Linked DNA regions of Arabidopsis thaliana. The protein of the gene in region 1 purifies or fractionates together with the protein of each later gene. This does not show direct contact. Each region holds a gene or a part of one and is shown on either strand. Other genes may lie near its edges.

The links.
Region 2: the proteins of AT5G65950 (region 1) and AT5G16280 fractionate together in Arabidopsis thaliana (co-fractionation; one large-scale study listed by BioGRID). This does not show direct contact.

Annotation. Positions count from the first base shown.
Region 1 is NC_003076.8:26,378,417-26,385,930, forward strand, and holds AT5G65950 (trafficking protein particle complex subunit-like protein), read left to right. Parts: upstream 1-1,706; 5' UTR 1,707-1,873; coding exon 1,874-2,262; intron 2,263-2,355; coding exon 2,356-2,417; intron 2,418-2,497; coding exon 2,498-2,612; intron 2,613-2,692; coding exon 2,693-2,816; intron 2,817-2,906; coding exon 2,907-2,987; intron 2,988-3,170; coding exon 3,171-3,512; intron 3,513-3,768; coding exon 3,769-3,935; intron 3,936-4,030; coding exon 4,031-4,872; intron 4,873-5,093; coding exon 5,094-6,544; 3' UTR 6,545-6,919; downstream 6,920-7,514. Other genes in the region: CHY1 (beta-hydroxyisobutyryl-CoA hydrolase 1), read right to left, coding at 1-77, 147-226, 302-365, 427-495, 560-640, 716-745; AT5G65960 (GTP binding protein), read left to right, coding at 6,997-7,063, 7,131-7,191, 7,273-7,408, 7,500-7,514.
Region 2 is NC_003076.8:5,328,538-5,333,695, forward strand, and holds the start of AT5G16280 (Tetratricopeptide repeat (TPR)-like superfamily protein), read right to left. Parts: upstream 3,158-5,158; 5' UTR 2,809-3,157; coding exon 2,646-2,808; intron 2,555-2,645; coding exon 2,460-2,554; intron 2,193-2,459; coding exon 2,093-2,192; intron 1,932-2,092; coding exon 1,827-1,931; intron 1,706-1,826; coding exon 1,552-1,705; intron 1,426-1,551; coding exon 1,305-1,425; intron 1,199-1,304; coding exon 1,139-1,198; intron 1,014-1,138; coding exon 933-1,013; intron 834-932; coding exon 739-833; intron 656-738; coding exon 505-655; intron 247-504; coding exon 163-246; intron 1-162. Other genes in the region: AT5G16285 (F-box family protein), read right to left, coding at 4,293-4,565.

The DNA.
Region 1 (7,514 bases):
TCAGTTGCAATACGAAATCGACCATGGACGGATACACCAGCTCCGCCTCCCATGACGATACCATTCAAGATTGAAACCTATACGAATTGATGAGTTTATCCACTCGGGAGTGATTTTACAAAAACAAAACGAAATTATAGCGAGACCTGAGCTTTGCTATATGTGGCCATAACATAGTTGAGCATGTATTCAGATGAGAAGTAATTGGCACCGAGTCTCCAGTTACCTAGTCAACGAACGAAGATAGAGAAAGAGTGTATAAAAGCTGAAAGTAAGAAACAGAAAAGAATGGGTGGTAAACCTTGATTGATGTCACGAACAACAGCTGCAACATCGCCACCAGCACAAAAGGCTCTCCCATGACCCTGTGGCAAAGTTATTCAGTACTAAATGTGTGTAAGCGGAAGAGATAAGGATAATGATTACCTTTAGGATGACAAGTTTCACACTAGGGTCCTCCTCAAATGCAAGGAACAGTTGCAGCAATCGAGAGATCTACAGAAAAAAATGAGTCTAAGCCAATACAGTACGCATGTACAAGAAGGGAAATATTCGATACCATGTGGAAGGACAGAGCATTCAGCTGCTTTGGTCTGTTTAGTGTCAAGATTCTAACACTCGATTTCTCTTCCACCAAAACCTGTGATCATATTATTAATTCAGAGAGCGAAGAATTGATCGTCGTAGATTCGGATTAAAGACGCAAGAAAGAGACCTGAGACTGAGAGGCCATCTCGACTGCCATCTTTCTTACTGGTCAGATTCGCCTTTGTATCTCCGGAGAGAGGAGCAGCAATGGGATCAGAAATTACCACTAATGGCTAACAAAATCTTCACCCGCTTAGTTTAGGAAGTTGATATTGGGCCTTATAGTAATCTGTTGGTTTTAATAATGGGCTTTATTTTGTTAATAGAGCAAATGGAACTTTGCTTTTCAAACTCAATTTCAAAGCCCTCTTGCAACATGCTTGATGAATGAGAAGATTATATGTTTTTATCGAGTACGTTAGACATGTGTTTTTTTTGTTAGGAAGCTAGTTTTCCAACTAACCAACACCTCCCTCTAGCATAAAATGACACGTGGGCACCAGATCAATCATTAAAAAAGTCTTCAAAAATTCTCAACAACCACTTCTAAAAGTCAGACATGAAAGCCCTCGCCTCTCGATATATAGATAATTTGCATATACATGAAAACTCAACAATCTGACGCATATGCAACAGAGTTGAAAGATGGAAAGAGCAAGGATACGATGGCCGAGTGGAAGAGGAATTAGGCTGAGGCAGAAGACAAAGAGACTGCGTGCGAGAGTGAGAAGCTTTTTCAGGCTTCTCAGGAGCTGGTGCTGCAGAAGGCCTCCGCTGGTCAGAGAAGACGGTCTTGATTACACATCTATACGTCGCTCTAACTCTTTCTACGCCGATGCAATTGCAGACTGCATTGACTTCATCAACCGCTCCTCCGCTTGACAGCTTCTCATTCTCTTCCAATAATTCTTTCTTCCATTTTGTAAAATCCAATGTTTCTGTATATGCAACCAATTCGAATTCTTTGTATTATTTTATTTTTTTGACGAGTCGATGCATCTTTAAGAAGTGGGCTTATAATGGGCCTGATGATACTACATCCTTAGAAACCACATTAGTTTAAATCAGATCTGACAACTGCAGTGGTTCATACCCTTAAAGATTAAAGGCCCGTTGAAAACCCATTAAGTATTTCACATCATATTCTGGGCCAGATGAACAATCTGACAGCTATACAAGTCCATTCCCTTATCCAAAGGCCCGTTAAAAGCCCACGTAAAATGAATGTGTCAGATCCTTCCTTGCTCGATTCAACGCGTCCGAGTCTCAGACACTCCCCGGCGAGATGGAGGAATACCCGGAAGAGCTCAGGACGCCACCGGTAAGTCTGGTGGCTCTCTTCGGATACGCGGAGCTACACGCGTCCATTACTAAGTATCTCCACTCCCAGCAGCCTCCCATCAACGCTCTGGCCTTCCCCGACTTCTCTCAAATCTCTCTCCTCCTTGCTCATGATGATCAGATCAGCCGAACCTCCTCCTTCAGAGATCCTCTCAGCGTCTCCGATTCTGCTTCTCCCATTCCTTCCAGATGCGGCGGTATTTTGAAACGGGACTGGTTGCTTAAGCATCGCACCAAGGTCCCTGCACTTGTCGCCGCCTTCTTTCCCTCACATCACATCTTCGGCGATCCAACTCAATGGCTACAGGTCTGCTCCGATCTCGACAGCCTCAAGTATTTCCTCATCTCCCTTTATATTTGTTTCCTTGTTTCCCCTCCTTTGTTTCAAACCCTCAAATTAACACTGCGATCTCAATTGCTTGCTAGATCCGTAATCCGTCCCAAAAACATCAAACTGGTGGTTGTCGTGGTCCAGTCTTCTCCCCACGGTAGCGCATTTTATCCGATTATTCTTTTCATTTTCCTCTCGGAACTACTGGTGACTTACTCCTTCCCGACTTGTTTTTAGAGGACATTAGCGACGATCGTCTGGTGGCATTGCGAAAGCGGGCAGAATTAGATTCTAAGTACGTGCTCTTCTTCAATTCCAGCATAGTCTCTGAACTCACGCTCTCTCTCTCCAGGTATGTTTCTCTCCTCTTTTACTTTGCACCTAGAACAAGAGGCTTTTCCTTCAATGCATCTCAACACGGTATGTTTGCAGACTCGCTTCTGCTTTTGCAGAGTTGGCACTTTCTTATTACAGAGAAGAAGGACGGAGAATCAAAAGCCGAATTGAGAAAAGGAGTTCCAATTCTCTTGATTTGAATGTTCGCTACTGTTTTAAAGTAAGCTTTTCTCGTTACCTCTGCTAAGTCTAATCATTTTGTTCCAAAGTATCTGGGAAAAGGAAGGCTCATTCATGCCATGACTGCTAGGTCGCTGTATATGCAGAGTTTCGTAGAGATTGGGGTGAAGCACTGAAGTTTTATGAAGACGCATACCATTCCTTGCACGAGGTCTTTATTATCTCTAAGTATTTTGTTTTTTCCCAACCCATCTGTCACGCTAATATGTATTCTGCTTCTAGTCAAGAAGTTCCTTTTGATGCATATATGGTCATTGCTTTCTTATTATTACATATCTTTGCCTGCGGTTTCCACACATTCAATTTCGACGAGCAATTTTGTTTATGCAAACAGATGATCGGGACATCGACTAGGTTGCCTGCAATACAACGCTTGGTCGAGATCAAAATCATAGCTGAGCAATTGCATTTCAAGATATCAACGCTTTTGTTGCATGGTGGAAAACTCATAGAAGCAGTGACATGGTTTCATCAACATAAAACATCATATGAAAAGGTTGTCGGATCCACAGAATTTATTTTTCTCCATTGGGACTGGATGAGTAGGCAGTTTCTTGTCTTTGCTGAGTTGCTGGAGACAAGCTCAGCAACTGGTCAGAGCTTAACATCCTCAAACCAAGGAACTGCGGAAATATCTTTGACTGAGTTTGAGTTTTACCCTGCCTATTATTATCAGGTCAGTCAATTCTGCTCTATGTAACACATAGTCGGAACATATCTAAACTTGGTGGTGCATTTTGTGTTAAATCTTTTCTGTGTCTTTTACCATTTAGTTAAAAACAATACTACATAAACTTAAACACCTACCTCTAAGCAAATGCTGGATTTTTCGTCCTCTTTCTCATAAATTTCTGAGCTGTCTGTTCCTAGGTACAGTATGTTGAAAATATAATATGTTCTTATCCACTGGGAAATTTTCGTTTTACACGCAGTTGGCTGCTCATTACTTGAAGGATAAGAAATCTGCCCTGGAACTGTTGTTGTCAATGTCTGAAATAGCTCAAGAGATTGATAGCAGCTCTGCATCTATTACTCCTTCAGTCTATGTGGGTCAGTTCGCTCAGTTGCTTGAGAAGGGAGAAGCTATTACACTTCACTCGTAAGTTGTTCATAATTCATCCCACAAATCTATGTAAAAGAAAACTAATTATGCTACCACCATCTCTAATAGTATGAATTCTAATGTATTTGCAGTATAACGGATGAAGAGTACACACGGTATACAATTTCAGAAGCAAAGAGAGTTCAGGATTCCCTTCAAATTATTGCTTGGCTGAAGAGATCTTATGAATCATTTACCAACCTTAAAGCCCAGAGGATGGCTGCTCTTTGTGCCTTTGAAGTAGCCCGGGAGTACTTTGATTTGGCTGATCCCAACAACGCAAAATTCTTTTTCGATATTGCTGCAAACTTGTACAGACAAGAAGGTTGGGTAACTTTGCTCTGGGAGGTGTTGGGTTACCTGCGAGAGTGTTCGAGAAACCTTGATGCTTTGAAAGATTTTGTAGAGTTTTCACTTGAAATGGTTGCCCTGCCTGTAACATCTTATGAGAATTCTGGGAACTTAAGAAACAAAAATTATGGTCCTGGAGGTCCTGCAACAATTTCAGGAAGAGAAAGTATACATCAAGAAGTTTTTACTCTTGTTTGTCGTGAAGCCGAGCTGTTATCATCTACCGAAGGAAGTGGGTTCAAATTAGCCACTGATAGCCCTCTTCATCTCGAGATTGATCTTGTCAGTCCTCTGAGACCTGTTCTCCTAGCTTCAGTTGCTTTTCACGATCAAATGATCAAGCCTCACGCTTTGTGCTCTTTTACGTTGTCACTACTTTCTCATTTACCTCTTCCAGTTGAAATAGATCATCTAGAAGTTCAGTTTAATCAATCTACATGCAACTTTGTCATCAGAAATTCCCAGAGGCCTCTGTGGGCTTCGGCGTCTAACACTGTGAAAAGTGGTAGCCAAGTGGAGAATGCGCCATTGCTGGTGCTTGTGCCGAATAATTGGTTAAGGTTGACATATGCAATCAAGTCTGGTTAGTGTGATTTAATTATAAGGGTGTTGTTTGTATCTAACACACTTTGCACGTATTGCAGTTATTCATTGAAATTCAAACCTGTTTTGGACGTTTTCGTATTCTCAGTTACCAATTAGCAAAACTGAAGCTTCAGAACTTGTATCTATCTTATGAAAGCAAAAGGGAAGTTGTTTTCTTGGCTGCCTAACTTTTCACACATTTCTTTGTTTCATCTGCAGAGCAAAGCGGCAAGCTTGAGTGTCTTTCAGTTCTTGCAAAATTGGGGCCTCTTTTCACAATCTGTTCAAGAGCCGAGAGTCCTGCTGCAATGGAGGATTTACCTGTCTGGAAGCATGAAAATCGTGTTGAATCTCTGCCAACAAAGGACCCAGTTCTTGCAGTATTTGGCCAGAAAGCTACTCAAGTTGATGAACCCGAACCACAGGTGGACGTCAGTCTAGGTGCTTCTGGTCCTGCCCTAGTTGGAGAAGATTTTGCGATGCCAATCGTGGTAACTTCAAAGGGTCATGCCGTATACAGTGGTGAATTGAAGATTAATCTAGTTGATGTGGGTGGTGGTGGTTTGTTTAGCCCAAGAGAAGCAGAACCGTTTTCTCTAGAAAGCCATCATGTTGAAATCTGTGGTATTGATGGGGCAGAGGGCAACAATGAATCCGAGTCTGAAACAGGGAGCATAAAGAAAATTCAGCAATCTTTTGGGCTGGTTTCTGTTCCATACCTGAAGGAAGGAGAATCATGGTCGTGCAAACTGGAAATCAAGTGGCATAGACCCAAGCCTGTGATGCTTTTTGTGTCATTGGGTTACTTGCCACATGGCAGTGAAGCCAATACCCAAAAAGTTCACATACACAAGAGCTTGCAGATTGAAGGGAAGATGCCTCTTTTAATAAGCAATCGTTTTATGTTGCCATATAGAAGGGATCACCTATTGCTCAATAGGATAAAGCCAGCCCCTGATTCTGAAGACGTGTCTTCTCTGCCGCTGAACGAAAAAAGTGTGTTAGTTGTCAGTGCCAAAAATTGCTCAGAAATAGCGCTGAAACTGGTGTCCATGTCCATTGAATTTGATGATGAACAAGGGGAAACTTCATGTTTGATTCAGCAGGGTGGTGGGTGTGGAGACTCCCCAAGCTCTGCAAATCTTGCGCCAGGGGAAGAGTTCAAAAAGGTTTTCACAGTCATACCAACGACGAGAACTCCAAAGCTTGGTTTGGGATCAATACATTTAAAATGGAGGAGAGAGGGAGGTAACATAACAGAGGCATATGTTTCAACAAAGCACAAACTTCCTGAAGTAAATGTGGAGGCATCACCACTGGTAATGAGTTTGGACTCTCCTCCATATGCCATTCTTGGAGAACCCTTCACTTACGCTGTTAGAATCTGCAACCAGACACAGTTGCTGCAAGAAGCAAAGTTTGGTCTGGCTGATGCACAGAGTTTTGTCCTGTCTGGGTCTCACAGCAATACGGTTTCAGTCCTTCCCAAGTCAGAACACGTCTTAAGTTATAAGCTAGTGCCTCTGACTTGCGGTGAACAGCAACTCCCAAAGATAACTTTGACATCAGCGCGATATGCTGCTGAGTTTCAGCCATCTGCGGTTGCTTCAAGTGTCTTTGTGTTTCCCTCAGCCCCACAAGCCGAGAAAGCCATCTCTACCAGCAAGTAGTGTAACTTCGCATGACTTGGGTTTTCAGATGTCTATGCAGTTTCAGCCATATGTGGTTAAGACAGACATATTGAATCAGTTTGGTAAATTTTGATCCTGAAGTGTCGCCTATGTTGTATTTTCATTTTTCCTTCTGTTGTTGATAATAATGGATATTTTTTGGAGAACCCAAACTAGACACATAGGATTAGGACACAATCTGTTTTGAGATGTGTTTTGTGGCAACTGTTTTTCTTTCAATGCAAAAAGTGTGTGTGTGCTTAAAACGACCATACATGGTCAAGCTAACGCAGATAAAACATTCAATATTTCGTTGTATTGGGCCTTTTGATATTTGGGCTTCAAATTATCACTTGACGTTGGGTTTGCCTTTTCTCACTTGACGACAAATCAGAATTAGCATCTGTTTAGATTGGATCTTGATCACTGGCGGGCGAAGTTGGAGAAGATTGATGGAAAGCCGACCGGGAGTTTTGGTCGTCGGATCCTCTGGCGTCGGCAAGCGCACCCTCCTCTCTCGTACGCGCTTCTCCCTCTCGGATCCGATTCAAAATTTTGTTTTGCTCTAATATGTAATCAATCACAGGATTGCTCTCTGTGGAATTTGAGGATTCATCGGAGTCATCATCTCAAACAGAAGTTCATGGGTACGTCTAGTACTGAAGAATTTCTTACCCTAACAAGTTTCATCGTTTGAACACTTTTTTCTCTCTGTAAAATGTGGGCAGCTGGACGATTAACACTAAGTATTACACTGCGGATGTTTCTGTATGTATATCACATATTTGCGATGAATACTCTCTACCCAATCTCCCTAACTCACATCCACTGGTGGCGTTAGTTATGGTCTTCGACTTGAGTGAGGTTTGACATTGATGATGATGATGATGATACACGCTTCATTCTTCTCACCTTACCATCCCTGCATAACCCTTTTTTACCCGATTCTTTGCAGCTGTCAACCCTTGTT
Region 2 (5,158 bases), about 21 Mb from region 1:
TGCATGAGATTTTGAAAGCATGGTTCACCGCATCACTTACTTACGTTAAACAATTAGTATTTCAGTTTCATACTTTGCTTATTATAAACACCAATTCAAGTAATTGATGGTCATTCACTAAAAGAACTGTTATCAATTAAAGAGTGGGTTATAAAGATATACCATATAAGTGCTGAATGCATTTTCCATGCACTCAGAATCCTTTTTTGGCTGGTCTGAGATGAAATATGCAAGTCCCCTCATTTCCTTCCAAACATGCATGAAAAGATGAGTAGTCCGCCCAAATCTTAGCAAAACAAAACAATGGCCCATCGATGATGAACTATTGAAGCAACCACAGGACATAAAGTGAAGAATAATGAAAAATAAACACCAAAAAGCAGTTTTGGTAATATGGCAAGCCTATACTATACGTAAGTTTCTAAATACAAGACGAATATCATATTAAATATAATGCCACAGGAACACCTCAACATTAACATAAATACAAAGATGTGTATCTACCTGAACACCAGCATAGTGTTTCCAAGCTTTATCGATATTATAGTCTGTATATATTAACCGATAGCTTGACAATGCAAGTTCATAATCATGCAACATGAAGGCGTAGTCACCCAAAATTCTAATTTGAGATTCGGTCGAGCTATATGTATACCTTCAAAAGTGGAAGCAAAGTCAGTAGAGCTTATAAATATGTCAAGGTAATCATAAAAGGAGCAGGAGTTCAAGAAAGCATACATAGAACCTTTGGTGGCATCCGGATTATCGTCTTTTCCTTTTCTCCACAAAAAGTTTTTAAATTGATTTTTAAGACCTTTCCTTGTTGCAGAAATCTAGTGACACAACAAAATGCAAACTAAACGATAAGATAAGAGAACAACAAAAGCCTAAGTAAAACACACAGATGACTTGTTAGAGTATCTAAAGCTAACCTGTTGATTAAGTTCTCGAACTTTCTGCTCCATGTAAGGAATTATATGCCTTGAAGCAAACTCTTGCATCAGATCTTTGATCTGCTCCAAATATGCCAGGAAACGAAATATGATAGGTTAAAACATTCAAAACTGTTGAAAGGTATAAATCTAATCAGTAAGAGAATGTTACTCCAGAGCTAGCAGCCAGAAGCCTTTTAAAATACCTCCACAATATCATCACCAGTGAGAGCACATCCAAGTTTGTCGGCCGAAACACTTGATTTCTTTTAAGAAAAATTGATGATCAAGATAATGAACTTACAAAATTGACATGGATTGATGTATGAGACTTGAAATTATGTTGTATAAAAGTTCTGATGAGTGACTTACAAATGAAGCCCAGGGATTAGCCTGATGTTCCACGTTCCCCTCTTTAGATGAATTAGTGCAAAGTAAGTTGCATTCATTATTTCCAAATTGACTTCTCATCTCTGACAGAACTTTAGACGTTCTACAGAAGAAATATCATCTAGTCAACTATAACATTACATTTGACACCCATAAACTTATGACGAAAATCATATCATAAACTTATGATGAAAATCATATCATATAAGAGGGAATAAGGAACAACTACCTCTCTGTTGTTGCATCTTGATTGTCATGCACCAACAAGTAATGCTTCAAAATGTTTGGGTCCATTGTACCATCAGTAGGTAATCTATTGGAGTTGAAAAGATCTACAAATTTTTTTATAGGTTCTTCATCTTTTGATGAAACGACCAATAGACCTGAAAGCACATTTCGAATTATTTGGAACTCAACAGAAAACTCTATGAGACATCATAGATCAGAAAACCTAGTTTAAAGACCTGAAAACAACGATTTTCTAAAATCCATTTAATATCTTACATGCCACAGGATGATCGAAAGCTTCGTGGTCTGAAAACGACAATGTACGTATAAGTTCTTTATTGTAATACCGAAACCATGAGGGTGCAATTTCAGACTCTGGATCTGCAGGGAGCGAAAATACGACAGCATTAGAAAAGCAACAAGTTAGAGAATTCGGCTTCTCAATTATTTAAAAATTGTTAGTGCACGATGTTAAAGAGTTTAAAAAACTTATAAAGGCATTTTCCGCTAATCACAGAAACAAATTTGGAGTAGTGACTTACTAGAGAGTATATCAGTAATTTGAGGAGGGTCAGATTTCAAATCCTGAAAATCCTTCTCCCCAGCTTGAGTAATAACACGTTCTAGCCGTTGCTTAGCAACCTAGCCATAAGTAAATACAATCAAATTTGAGCTCAACACCAAAGATGCAGAATGGAGGAGCCTCAGGCCGTCCTCCACCACAACATAAACAAGTATACCCCTAAAACCAAATCCATCTTCTTTCACTTTACGTTATTCGTAAAAGCAGGTAATGATTTCAATATGTTCAATTAAAGGTGATTCACACTGTTGCTGGGTAATAACTGGTTATCAAGTACCTTAACTATTCAAACGTTAATATATTCAACCGAAGCAACTCTTACATACCTCTACGTTTGGTTGCTTTATATCGGAGGCATAAAACAATCTTAATGTAAACTTCTTTAGCCGATACAGCTGATCGCTCGATGTCCGAACAGGCACTGCACCGCAAAATTCACAATTGGAATCCTCAAATTAGACGTTTCGGATAGTAAACGCGGAACACAATCAACATCAAATCAAGGAATTCACCATCGATGTTACTAAAGTTGCAGAATGGCTTGAGCGTTTCCACAAAGGATAAGCCATTCCTGAGGAAAGTATCTTCAACAAGAGGCGTACATAGAACCATGACCACTGGACTAATTTCCTCCAATAGCATTTTCCCAAGCGAAGAGTTCACCGGCTCCACCATTCTTCCGTTCGCTTAACTAGTCTCTCAAACCTCTTCACTGTGTATCTAATCCGATTTCAGGTCGGATAGATTTTGGAGGCGGTGCGATTCAATAACCTAGATCTCCACCTTTTTAAGCCAATCGGAGCTACGACGCCGTCGTCGGCAGCTGCCGGACTTGATGTAGGTAGGAATGAAGATATCGGTAAATGATGGAGTATGTAGAATGGAGAAAGCAGTCAGTACGGCGTATTAACCGGAGAATGATCGGATGATCGTAATCGGGATCGAGATCGACGTAGAGGGAGAGATGTAGGCAAAGTTCGATTGGAGATTTGGAGGAGAGTCGACGAGCAACATGAAAAAAAAAAAAAAAAAAAAAAAAAACAATTTCCATCTATTTAAGTTATGTATTTGGCCCTATATTTAGGTAAAATTACAATATTTTCCAAATAGTTTAAAAATGTGCTCAATGAGCTTCAGTGATCGATATGGAAACCTAAAGTCATAATCACACCAGAAAATTCAAGACATTTTGGTCATAAAGGGAAGCAAGGAAGGAAAAAACGGCCATCTTCCAACGTAGTGAGGTAAACTAAAAGCATAATAGCAAGTAATCAAGGTAACACCAGAACCACATCTTGAAACTTGGAGAAACAAATATAGTTGATGGAAGAAGCAAAGGTTACATTATGCATTGGCACTAATCAAATTTGAATAGAGATTAAACTCGGGAAATAACAAACAGGATATATATCCAATGGATTTAGCCGCCGAGAAAGCAACATCATCTGGTTTGGTTTCGGGGTCATGTGTAAACAGTCTTGGACATAGCACACGATCATAAAACAACAACTTCTTCTTCAACTTGCTAGTGGCACGACAACGTACCTTAGGGTATTAGGCATATCAACATTTACTACCATATATATAGAATATATTTTGTCCCATGTCTGCCTGAATTGAACGACCATATCACTTGGGTGGGCCACTTCATCTCGGATACGCACAAGCGGTTGTCAAGATTGCACATGACGATCTCCTGAGGATCGGAATTGAGAAAGGGAGCTTTAGAGATGACTTGATAAGCTTCGGTGTGAAGATCAAAAGATGTAACTTTGGTTTCTTGGCACTCAGTGCACCAACGAAGCGACCCATCTACAAAGAGGGGACCAAGGAAATCAACAACACGATAAGGAGCAGCTGGAGTGACATACCTCCAAGCGTTGGTGCTAAGGTCAAAAACTTCGCAGGTGGTAGCGGTTTCTTCTATGCCTATTTCTGTAGAGTTGTATAGCCAAACGGGCTTGTATGTTGCCGCGAATATGCCTTTGCCAAATCCAAGCCTAAAGAGTCCGAGTTTAAGTATGTACAAAACTTCTCATATGTCGATCATGATTTGTTGATATTCGCAAAGAGGAAGAGGACGATACCATCTAGTTGTGGGGTTGACCACAAAACCCGGTTCTTTGGGATGGTAGAGACAAACGAGACCGTCACAGCTATTATATGATCAATGTAGTAGGGTTCCTTGTCCTTCTGCTCCCAAGGAGTAGGGATCCCACGTGCGGGGAGTCGTCATTATATACGGTCACCATGAGAACAACTGGATCTCCTGATTGCTGACGATGCGTCAAGTGTTTTCCTTGGAAGAATTGGGATTCAATTGTTGATTTCCATTGCTTCGATACAGCCTTGAATCGAGGCAGAGAATTCACCGCAAGTCTCTCCAGGATTCGCTCTACTACATCATGTTGCAGCAGCGATTCAATCCTCATGCAACGTTATTCTTGTCTAGTCGTCTCAGTACGTACGTATATATAGTAGCAATTGATGAATAGATAATAGAGTCTTATTTATAAAAACAAGTACTCGCAGACAAATCCGGTTTTGTACTCAACCCTTCCTCGAGGAAAATCTATCTTCGTATTCCCTCTTTCTTTCTCCACACGACACACGACAAAGATCTTCCTTCTCCTAACTAAACATAGAAACATCTTCAAACCCTATCTCTGAATAAGTCTTATTTAAGTGAATACACATCTTTTTGGTATGTTTTGTTTACTTTTTTGAGATTTTGAGTTATTTTCTAAACATTTCTACATTTGAAATATTACTTTATTATTAAAACATAGAAAACGTCTAACCGGTCGGACCAGGATGAACCATGATTCATGACCCGAACTCACACCCGGTTTTGATAAAAGTTTTAAAAGAGACTACTAGACGACAAAAACAAAAACAAAGACTAGTAAATAAATTAAAAAATGACCCGAACACACAGCCGGTTCAAAGTCCGGTTATTAAATCATTGATTAAAAAATTAAAAAACAAAGACTACTAGATGACAAAAACAAAGACCAGTAAAAAA